Linked DNA regions of Xenopus tropicalis. The protein of the gene in region 3 purifies or fractionates together with the protein of the main gene of each other region. This does not show direct contact. Links are inferred from orthologs where the notes say so. Each region holds a gene or a part of one and is shown on either strand. Other genes may lie near its edges. The genes, in order: lig3, xrcc4 and pnkp.

Region 1 (4,388 bases), on a different chromosome or scaffold from region 3:
TTGAGCCACACTTGTGTTCATAAGGCACAGACGTAGGAAAAAAGTTCTTTTAGGATCCTAAATAAAGCTGGCCATACACGCACCGATAATATCGTATGAAACCTCGTTTCGTACGATATTCGGTGCGTGTATGGCAAGTCGGCGAGGCGACCGATATCGCAGGAAGCTGCTGATATCGGCCGACTCGCCGATCAGACCAGTTTGAAAATTTTGATAAGGCGCCTGACCAAAATCTCCCTTCAGCGCTGAATCGGCAGAAGGAGGTAGAAATCCTATTGTTTCTACCTCCTTACCTGCCAATTCAGCCCTGAATGGTGTGTGGCGGATCTGACGATGTTTCGTGCGACTGATGGTCACACGAAACATCGTCAGATCGCCACGTGTATGGCCAGCTTTAGGGCTGTGACGTGGCTATTTGGTGGCCCCATATTTTGAGTAAAACGGTCTCTCTGCGTCCAAACTCGCCTCCCAAGCCACTTGTTGGGGGTCACCGTTATAGGGGATCGCCATCTGAAAACTGTTTTTGCATAATGAGAGGCAATGTAATTCTAAGCCAGTTTCCTCTATACGTTTTCAGGGGATTTGCAGTTATTCGATAATTTATGGGAAAGTTGTTTACATTTTCTTTATTATCCTATATGGTTTTTTAGCAGGATCCTAAATGGGTTAGGGTTTACTTAAAGGAGAAGGAAAGGTAAAAACTAAGTAAGCCAACCATAAATACAGCCATAAGCACTCACAGTAATGCTGCACTGAGTCCTCTATCAAAAGAAACACAGGATTTTTTTGTCTCTTTTTTATTTTGTAAGCATGATGTTCCAGTGTCTGACTTTCTCTCTCAGAAACATCCTTAATTCCCCTGACCAGAGTCTGCGCAACTCTCTCCCCTCTCTTGCTCCTCCTCCCACCAGAATGCTAAGAACTCCCTCCCCCCCTCCCTTAGGAATGTGTGATCTGAGCTATAACTGCTAGAGACTGCAGGCAGGAAGCTACTTAAAATGGCAGCTGCTATCTTAAGCAAACAGAGAAAGCTTCTAAAGCTGTTTACTCAGGTATGGTAATGTTTTCTGCAGAATAAATATATTGTTATAGGTGGCACTAATGTGGCAAATCTATTGGCAGTAAAATGCCAAAATGACTTTCCTTCTCCTTTAAGGATCCAAGATATTTTGTGGAATTAAGGTACATTTTCTTACTATTATATATTGTCTGTTATCCAACTCCCAATCCATGTTTCTCTAATGGTCTAGTGAAAATAAAACCATTTTCAGATGTCAACGGGCTTTTTAATTTGTTTGTCTGTGTTATAGTAACAGGTTGATTTGCTGAATACATGTCAATGTTGCTGCTATTGGTTATATGTACTGTCTTATTCCTTCACGTGTAGTAATATGGACTGTCTATTTCCTTTACTTTCCTGTTTAGGTCAAGAAGCAACAAGAAAACAGATTTTTCATTATTAGAGCAATAGGCAAGTATATTCACCAGTCCTTGTAACTGAACTTATATTCCACAAGTGGGTATACAGGTATGGGACATGTTATCCAGAATGCTCGGGACCTGGGGTTTTCCGGATAAAGGGTCTTTCCTTAATTCGGATCTCCTACCTTAAGTAAAAATGTGAATTATTTGATTAAAATGGAGTCTATGGGAGATGACCTTTTCGTAATTCTGGATAATGGGTTTCCGGATAAGGGGTCCGATACCTGTACTGCCCCTTGCAATGATTTCACTTTCAAACTGCTGCCTAAAATCTGTCTCTAAAATATTTTATCTTTTAAACTAGGTGGTCTATGAGGGCATTTCTTAGACTTCTGGCATATCAGACCAAAAGGACACTTGGCCAGTCCTTAACAAAAGTTCCTTTACGAGTTATTTTTCATGCCTGTTGGAGCCAGTCGCCTCTCCACAGTGCTTTGCACTTCCAATTCTTTTTAAGAGTTACACATTTCTCCAACATGGCGGAACAGCGATACTGTGTGGAATATGCAAAACGTGGGACTGCTGGTTGCAAGAAATGCAAGGAGAAGATTGGAAAGGGTTTGGTACGCATAGGTAAAATAGTGCCAAACCCTTTTAGCGAGTCTGCTGGGGACATGAAGGAGTGGTACCACATCAAGTGCATGTTTGAGAAACTGGAGAGAGCGCGGGCAACTACAAAAAAAATTGATGATCTGACAGAACTGGAAGGTTGGCAGGAACTTCAAGACTGTGATAAAAACCTAATCAGCCAGCATGTCACTGGTAAACCTCTACTTGCATACTGTTTGTCTGGCTTACAATTGATTTTGTAACCATTTTATATTAAGTTCGCAATAAAAATCTAAAATGTCCAACAGTGCTCTACAGCAGATGTCCAGCCAAAAATAATTTGCTTTCCATAATAAAAGATGTAATTCTAAGCCACGTTCCGTTATATCTTAAAGGACATGTAAACCCCACACACACAATTTTAATCAGTGAACAGCCTCTTTCAATCTTTAAATACCTGCCACACTAGTTGTCCAGAGGTTAATAATAAGGCTGCAGCATCCCCTTAGATTTCCTTCTCCTCCTGTAACCCACTCGGCCCCCTCCCTCAGAAATTTGCTTTGACTTCTGGCTTGTGGGTATGCTCCGTTGTTAAAAGCTCAGATTACTAAACATGCCCTCCAGTCTAGCAGCCAGTGAAGAGATGGCATTGCTGGTTCCCATAGAAACTCCGCTCTAGCTGTCTGCTTCAATTTTGTTCTCCCAACCAACTCTCCTGAACTCAGCTCAAACAAAGCAGAACTTGTATCAGGCAGTTGTGCCTGTGTGAGCCCGTATTCTTGATGAAATGTGTTCTGAATAAGGGTCTGTGTGTGTGTATGTGTGTATGCTGTTTGCAGATTAAAATGTATCAGAGGAAAAAATTCCACCGGGTGAAAGTTGCTATTTGCTTTAGGAAAATGTGATGGTGCTAGCAAATGTAGGTGATATATGCAGTACAGATGATGCCATTTGAGTGGGGGAGACATGCCCAACTGATATACATTCTAGGCAAAAGTAGGCTTTACATGTACTTTAAAGGAATACTGTCATGGGGAAAACATGCTTTTTTTTCCAAAACACATCAGTTAATAGAGCTTCTCCGGTAGAATCCTGCATTGAAATCTGTTTTTCAAAACCGAAAACAGATTTTTTTTTTTTTTTTTTTTTATATTTAATTTTGAAATTTAGCATGGGGCTAGCCATATTCTTCATTTTCCAGGGTGCCACAGCCATTTGACCTGTGTTCTGATAAACTTCAGTCACCACTTTACTGCTGAGCTGCAAATTGAAGTGATATCACCCCCCTCCCAGCAGCCTATCAGCAGAACAGTGGGCAGGGAGCACAAAAGTTGGCAATAGTAGCTGAGTCTGAAGCATGTGTTCATGCTACAGCAACCCTGTGTTGATCAACCATAGGTAAAGCACTTAGTTGTAGGTGAGCTGAATGCATCTGTTGAAAACCTTATAGGTAATATCCTATGTTCAGATTGGTAGAAGGCTTGTACATCATGACCTAAGGCCTTGATGAAACTAGCTTTTGAGTTCCAAAAGTAACTGTTCCAAATAAGTTCTTATGTTATTGCACAGCTAGTACACACGCTACTAATATGACTTTCCTTTGTTTACAGAACTTGCTACAAAAACAGCAGCTACACCTCGAAAAAAGACTCCGTCCAAGGAAAAACAATCACCGGCAGTACAAGGAACAACTTCCACTACAGCACCAGCAGCTAGTCCCTCTCTAAAATTTTCAGGTTTCTCTGGTAATGCTTTATTTCTAGCACAGTAAAATTGTGATACTAATCGGAATCACACCATTATTAATCATAACTAACTCACCACTCCTCTCCCAGCCAATAGTTACTGACATTTCTGGTAGCACCAAATAGATATACATGTAAACATTATTTTCTTTGTTTTATATGCTTTGTATTCTTTTCTTTCTTTCTGCAATCATTATTTTATAACTTGTTTTTGCGGTTATAAAATGGGTTAAGTTGTGTGTGGTTTTTAAATCTGATATTCCCAGCAAACTAATATTAATGTAATATATTGTATTGTTTTTGTTCATCATTTGCCTTGGACATCTTGGAATTAATTGTAGTGCCTTTTTTTAACAGCAAAACCCAGTCAATCATCAAGCCCACCAAGCTCAAGCACTGGCTCCAGTCTTTCAACTGCAAAGTGTGACCCAAAACATAAGGACTGTCTTCTGCGTGAGTTCCGCAAGCTATGTGCAATGGTTGCGGAACAGCCAAGCTACAACAGCAAAACACAGATCATTCGTGATTTCCTAACCAAGGGAACAAGTGGCGGTATGCTCTCATTCATATGCAAATAAAGTGTTAAATACTGGTTTTGTTATAGATTTGATC
Region 2 (3,653 bases), on a different chromosome or scaffold from region 3:
CCAAAACACACCAGCAAATCCACCTCTGAATGGCTGAAGAAAAACAAAATGAAGACTTTGGAGTGGCCTAGTCAAAGTCCTGACCTGAATCCTATTGAGATGTTGTGGCATGACCTTAAAAAGGCGGTTCATGCTAGAAAACCCTCAAATAAAGCTGAATTACAACAATTCTGCAAAGATCAGTGGGCCAAAATTCCTCCAGAGCGCTGTAAAAGACTCGTTCCAAGTTATCGCAAACGCTTGATTGCAGTTATTGCTGCTTAGGGTGGCCCAACCAGTTATTAGGTTCAGGGGGCAATTACTTTTTCACACAGGGCCATGTAGGTTTGGATTTTTTTTCTCCCTAAATAATAAAAACCCTAATTTAAAAACTGCATTTTGTGTTTACTTGTGTTATCTTTGACTAATAGTTAAATGTGTTTGATGATCAGAAACATTTTGTGTGACAAACATGCAAAAGAATAAGAAATCAGGAAGGGGGCAAATAGTTTTTCACACCACTGTATATACAGTTACTTCCAGGTACGGAAGTGATGTTTCCAGTGATATAACTTGTGCCCAAAACATCAGCTTCTATTGTGTCTTTATCCAGGTCTACTACACATACACATGCTTACAGGATATATTTTCCTCTGAAGTTTATAGCAAAAAGTATGGTGTAGTAGTAGTGGTGTTCTAAGACAATTGCAAAGGATCTACAAATTTTTAACAAAACATGAGGATCAACTGCAAAATTGCTTAAATGTATTTTATGTAGAACATAATGTATTAAAAGCTAAAATGCTGGGTAATGCCAAATTGAATTGAAAAATTAAATATTTTGGGTCAAATAGTATCAGAATCAGGATTGGTGAATGTAGCAATGAAATCTGAGCTGTCAGTGTAGACAGAGGAGTAGGGATGGTTAGTCCTACAAATAAGCAGAAAAGGTATCGCTGATCTATCTAAAAGGACTAAACCTGTCATTGCAAGTGCTATTTTTACTATTTCTTTATAAGAACCTACTACACATAAAATGTTAGTTTACATTTGTGTCAGCCTATTTTGTTCATGTTTTTTTTCCAACATATTGGCACAGCAGATAAAGCAAATCAGCACTTTTAGGTACCACTTTTGTTTTATGATTAATGAAATAAGGTTTAACTTAAAAATATTCCCAGCCTTTACTTTGCTACAGACTTATTTTTGTACAATAAGATAATTAAAGGAGAAATAGGCAGTTACACTATATATGGCTGTTGTGAATTTCTTACCAGTCTTAGAGGCAACTGCAGGGCTTTCCTGCTCCTCATCAGTTGAGCCAGCAAAGGCATCATACTTCATTTCCTTGGCCACAAGAGTATCATCAGGAGCAGTTTCTTCACTGTGTTGGAAAAATAGTATGAGTGACGCTATAGAATTACAATAACAGTACTACTGTGCCACAAATGAACCTTTATAGAGTAAAACTAACCAGTTAACTTTCATGAGCTGCATAAAACCATCCATCATTTTCATCTTTATTGTTGCTAGGAAATGTATTATTTACTATTATTATTTTAAATATAATTATTGAAGTCTTGTCATAAACCGGAAAAAAGTGCAGTATGCTACATGACAAGCATTTCAGGTTCTTTACAATATGAAAGCAATGGATCCACTATAATCATCCCCAAAAATGATTTGTTGCTAAATTGCTCTTGATATAACACTTGCTCTTCAAACGACAATGTTGTTCATCGCTTTACTTTACTTGCATTATTTGTTTCTGACTTTGTTCACACTTTCTTTCTATATCCTTTTTCCCTTGAATTTAAAGTGAATTTTTAACGTTTTCCTTTTTTCTCTTAAGACCACAACTAGCTGAGGATTCTGCTTACTTTCTCATTATTTCATATTATGATTTTTCATAACTTTTTGACTTATTTTTCTCTGATAAAGACCTTTACAGTAGCATTATGCTCTTTCTTTTTTGCCGCTACAGGAATCGGACCTGTTATCCAGAATGCTTGGGACAGGATACAGGGTCTTTCCATCATTTGAATTTCTATACTTTAAGTCTACTAAGAAATAAATAATTTAAATATTAATTTAAACCCAAAAGAACGGTTTTGCCTCCAAAAAGGATTAATTATAAGTACAAGATACTGTTTTATTATTACAGAGAAAAGGAAATAATTTTTTAAATTTTCAGTTATTTGATTAAAATGGAGTCTATGGGAGATGGCCTTCCTGTAATTCGGAGTTTTCTGGATAATGAGTTTTCTGTATAACAGATCCTATACATATACAAAACAATAACTTGAAAAAGTGCTAGAACAGATAGAAACATACAATGCATGGAAATATGACAGCAATCATTTGCCCCTAAATGGATAGTACTGCCAATACAATTTTAAATGAAGCCAGAGTAAGAAATGTGCTAATATACCTTTTTTGTTTGAGTCTTTCTTGTGATTCTAATAGTTTTTCCTTCAGGCTTCTGATTTTAGCTTTTTTCTCATTAAGAACACAGGTAAATCGAGTATAAAGGTCTCGCTCCAGTTCTTCTTTGCCATTCACAAACTTTTCCAGCCTGAAATCATACATTTTAATATAGATTTAAACTATTGATGAAAAAGTTTAACATTTCCTGAAAATTTCCTGAAAAGCAGCGCTAGGCCGGGGAATAAACTAACATATTGGCAGCCCCAGTAGATTCCTTTACTTTAGCTCAATAAAGTTGAGAAAAAAAGCTGCACTGTTAAAAAGCATATGGGTCTAAGACATTATGGGTAAAAAAAATGATGGTTCATTCAGTTTGTTTTTCCCCGCAATGCAGTATTTTCCCCATAATTCCAGACTTATCATATCTGTGAAATGGAGATGCACCTTGTTGCAATTGTGACAAGATATAAAAACATATAATTTGACAAGAACAGGGTAAAATTGCACAGAAAAAGTCCATGTTGTTACTGTCACTTGGTGTTAAAATGACAATTCTTTAGGAGCAAATCTGTTGTGCAGGCAACTGTGGGTACCTTGGAGCTACTGCTAACGTTACAGGTGGCGGTAGCTCCAGGGTTCCCCTGCGCACATATGGAAGTGCAGCTTTGGATGCAAGAATGTTTAGTGTGCAATGACTGCAGCAAACTTTGCTAACATTTTTTAGCGCTTAAATTGTACATAACCTCAGTAGTGTTTAACTACTGAGGTTACCAGATTGCAGTCAGCAAAATAGACTTTCCTCTCCCTTAGCGAAAACTTACTGCGCGTGCATGTCATTCCAGTCACACTGAAGCCTTTCATTTTCCTTCTGCAGGTGTTCATTTCTGCTATATAATTCAGAGGTGCAGTCCAGGCAATAGTTTATCAACTCTCTGATGACATGTGCCGGGTTCTGGACATTTTTTAGTTTAGTTGATCCAAGCTTAAACTGCAAAAAAAAAAAAAAAAAGTAATGAGACAAACTTAAAACTGTGAGAAGATGTAGCAAGCACAGCAGCACTCTGTGGGGGGGGGGGGGGGGGGGGATGGGGGGGGATGTAAATCTGTACAGTAATGTGGATTTTACCATTCACTAAATTGTAAACAGAAACACACCTGCATCTCAGTTAATGCCACTGAGAATTCACTTCATAATATAGTCACAAACTTTGTACCATAGAATTCAGGGACACGTCTAGAAAATCCAG
Region 3 (3,653 bases):
CACACACAAACATCATTTCAAAGCCAAGTGCTGGAAATGAAACACTCTTGATTTGTAAAAATGCTTAACTGTAACTGAGCGGGTTTTATTAAACTGGATGCAAATCTGTGTGTCACGGTAATAATGCTGGGATTGTGGGAAAAACACAGCATTATAGGAAAACAACAAGGTGAATTGCACACTGCGGCTGCGTTCGTAAATGACAACTATGGTGTTTTCTCCTCAAATCTCACCTGTGTCTGAAACCATTAACTTCAACAGTAGCTGTCTGTCACTGTACACAAGGCAGATTTTGGCCCAAAAAAGTGAATTTTCTTTCCAAAATCTGCCTGTGTTCACAGTCCCTAACAGATTACACTGCTGTAATTACAATACTCAGGTTGGCCAGTAGGGGGGTGAGCGGTCATTTTCTTTGTGGGTGAAGAAATGTGCAACATAAGCCTTGTGGCCATACACGCACCGATATTATCGTACGAAACCTCGTTTCGTACGATAATCGGTGCGTGTATGGTATGTCGGCGAGTCGACCGATATCGCAGGAAGCTGCTGATATCGGCCGACTCGCCGATCGGACCAGTTGGAAAATTTTGATCGGGCGCCATAGAAGGCGCCTGACCAAAATTCTCCCTTCAGATCTGAATCGGCAGAAGGAGGTAGAAATCCTATTGTTTCTACCTCCTTACCTCCTCCTCCAGCCCTGAATGGTGTGTGGCGGATCTTACGATGTTTCGTGCGACCGATGGTCGTACGAAACATCGTCAGATCGCCACGTGTATGGCCACCTTTAATTACATCCCTTCTATCCACCAATATCTCTAAGCACCTGCATGTGAGGTGGTGCCCTAGAATGGGGCCCCTTTCATGCCTTAGTCTTGGTGAGTCTGTAGCCTGTAAACCCCCCAAATGTTATGCCCTGGTATGAATAAAATAATCAAAAAGGTTACAAAAGTTGGAAATGTGTATTTAGGATTAGTGTTCTTTTATCACACATTGCACTTACCGGATCGAAGACAGGGAAATTAAAGGCAGCTTTTTTCCATCCAAGGAAAAACTCCTCTGGTGTGAAGAACTTTATGCCAATATTTAGAGCAAACTTTAAACAAAGCGAGATAAAAAAAACAAAACACAATTAGTGTGTGCTGGGCATTTAAGGTGCTTGTGTGCACCCATCAGTGCCAGGTAAATTCATCCAAAGACTCATAGGAACACAGTACAGGTTACCATGAAGGTGGCACACCAGTCCCATGACTAAGGTACAATGATTACCTTTGGTGGTATTTTTAGTTGCCCTTAAGTTTAGAATGAAGACACACTCCCTGGAATATTAGACATGCTTAGTAGCTCAGTCTACTGTCTAGGGACTAATCAATGTACAACCCAGAGCCACAAAGCATGTCGACGGCCAATGTGCACAGGAAAAGGGATTACTAAATAAAGAAAGATATGGTGGTTTGGGGTCTAACCTGCAGGCATGGATCCTTACTGTCATAGTGCTGCTGTACCTCTGAAAAAATACAACAAGCCCAAGCACAGGGTCCGCCATTATATCCTTATATATTAGGAACAGACTTATGGACAACCTTCATCCAGGATCTAATAGGGCAGAACGTGGTTAAGTTACATCCATGTGAATCAAGAAACATGAATGTTGACAATAAAAAGTGAGTGCTCATCATGATGGAAAATGAACAAAATGTTAATTAAACTAGAATTCTGTTTATCAGTTATTTTTTGTGGATGATTTGGAATAACTGGGAAATGATGTATCTGGTTCATCCTTAGCCAAAGCACTTAGTCCTGCAGAGTACAGCCTGTATGAAATAGAAGTGTGGTACATAAAGTATGTGCAGCCTTCAGTGTGAGCATACATGGCCACGTGCACATGTATTAGTATGACAACATACCCCCATAAGACTTTCAGCGGGCTTTATTAATGTGCAAAATGAGCACAAATGAGCCGAAATGTACAGAGTGCAATCACTTTACAGATCTTTCTTCTTTTCTACATTTAAAAGGAAAAAGAGCTTAGGAGGTTTTGAAAGAATGAGGTGGGTGGGGCAGCTAAAACACACAACGGGGGTCATTTATAAACACTGGGCAAATTAGCACCTGTACAGTAAACTGTGGCAATCAGAAGTTTGCTTTCATTGTTCTACCTGCAGCTATCTGGAATAATCAAATCACATATTGGTTGCAAAGAGTTACTGCCGAGGTGCAAATTTGCCCAGTGTTTATAAATGAGCCCCAATGTTTAAAAGACTTTATGAAAAACATATTTTCTCATTAAACAATTATTTATGTTCTACTATTACTTCAGCTGAGGCAACCAGTATAGTAGCATACACTCACATGGCAAAATGCAAGAAATGTCCTATTTCCCCTTTAATCTCTACCCTAGAGCTACGCTCTAGGCAAATTAGAAATGTATAATGAAGGAATAATTTTACAATTTCTGCCTACCAGCCGGTCACTGCAAGAAAAGTCCTTCTTCTTACGATCAGGGGCCCAATTAGCCGGCCGGCCGGCAGCATCTGCAGGTACAAGCACAGAAGACAAGGCATTATATAATGTTACCATGCATATGATGACTGACAGATGTGTTTTAAATGAATTACCTCCTACATAGAGGCAGTCTTCCTTCTTTACTTCAATCCCATCATTGGCCTGGGGAGGAAAGAAAGCTCATTCAAAGTGATTACTGATGCTAATTGCTCCACTCTGATACAGTTTATGTGTAAAGCCACTTTGATGTAATGTACTGTAAACAAGCAATATGTCAATAGTATACAAACAGTCTAAATATTCATGGAAAATACCATCTCTCTGGGCAGAGGAAAAGCCAATCTTAATGGCAGCCTTCTGGGGGAGAGGAAGGATCTATGGTGGGGCTATATGTAGTGTAGCCAGTATAGCGGCACTGGGGCTCAGAACTTTTAGCAAGCCCATGAAGTCCAACTGTAGGTAGGTTACTGGATTCTCTGACTAACTAAAGGGAGTACCAACTATTCTCTTACACTGAGCAGTTCTGTTCTGCCATGGGAAAGAATCTATAACTCACTAACACATCACTGTGCGTTAGTAATCAGTTTGACAATATTTTTTCTAAAAGCTGTGATGTTTTACTGTAAAGCTCTTACCTTGTTACAGAGATGGTCCCACATTCCAGTCACAGGTTTGCGGTAGATTCCCATACCAGTAGCCACAAAGACCTGTGATCAATTAAAATGAATGTGTGATTACTGATATATATAACATCAGTACCCTCTACCAGCACCCACAGTTTATTTTTAACCCTCACAGTTCCTACACAGATATAAAAAGATCATTTACCATTAATATGGAATAGGAACTTTGGACAGTCATAGAAATTATAATTAGTGTAAATATAAGCAGTTAATGTAAGCATAATGCCAACAGCAGTGTTAGAGGTGTAGTTATCAAGGCACTGTACAGGCATTATCGCTTTATTTGACAACTAAGTGCTTTTTTTATTGGTCCTACACAACAATGCACACAGACCTGCACAGGAATCCCCAAATGATCCAAAATGGCTTCCACTTTTGCTTTGAAAACTTCAGGCTTCAGCTTGCCACGGCTGATTCCCATCTGATTTGTGATGAAAATCACCTGGCACAAAGAAGTATATTAATAGC

Evidence for each region.
Region 1: the proteins of pnkp (region 3) and lig3 purify together in Homo sapiens (co-immunoprecipitation; 5 studies listed by BioGRID and IntAct, with this or other methods). This does not show direct contact. The link is inferred for Xenopus tropicalis from reciprocal best matches to the Homo sapiens genes PNKP and LIG3.
Region 2: the proteins of pnkp (region 3) and xrcc4 purify together in Homo sapiens (co-immunoprecipitation; 5 studies listed by BioGRID and IntAct, counting the BioPlex papers as one, with this or other methods). This does not show direct contact. The link is inferred for Xenopus tropicalis from reciprocal best matches to the Homo sapiens genes PNKP and XRCC4.

Annotation. Positions count from the first base shown.
Region 1 is NC_030686.2:27,256,277-27,260,664, reverse strand, and holds the start of lig3 (DNA ligase 3), read left to right. Parts: upstream 1-1,438; 5' UTR 1,439-1,471; intron 1,472-1,786; 5' UTR 1,787-1,793; coding exon 1,794-2,244; intron 2,245-3,641; coding exon 3,642-3,776; intron 3,777-4,133; coding exon 4,134-4,328; intron 4,329-4,388. UniProt on the Homo sapiens protein: Isoform 3 functions as a heterodimer with DNA-repair protein XRCC1 in the nucleus and can correct defective DNA strand-break repair and sister chromatid exchange following treatment with ionizing radiation and alkylating agents.
Region 2 is NC_030677.2:181,163,062-181,166,714, forward strand, and holds part of xrcc4 (DNA repair protein XRCC4), read right to left. Parts: intron 3,395-3,653; coding exon 3,228-3,394; intron 2,555-3,227; coding exon 2,411-2,554; intron 1,364-2,410; coding exon 1,254-1,363; intron 1-1,253.
Region 3 is NC_030683.2:117,562,325-117,565,977, forward strand, and holds part of pnkp (bifunctional polynucleotide phosphatase/kinase), read right to left. Parts: intron 3,628-3,653; coding exon 3,520-3,627; intron 3,210-3,519; coding exon 3,138-3,209; intron 2,665-3,137; coding exon 2,616-2,664; intron 2,532-2,615; coding exon 2,461-2,531; intron 1,094-2,460; coding exon 1,001-1,093; intron 1-1,000. UniProt on the Homo sapiens protein: Plays a key role in the repair of DNA damage, functioning as part of both the non-homologous end-joining (NHEJ) and base excision repair (BER) pathways.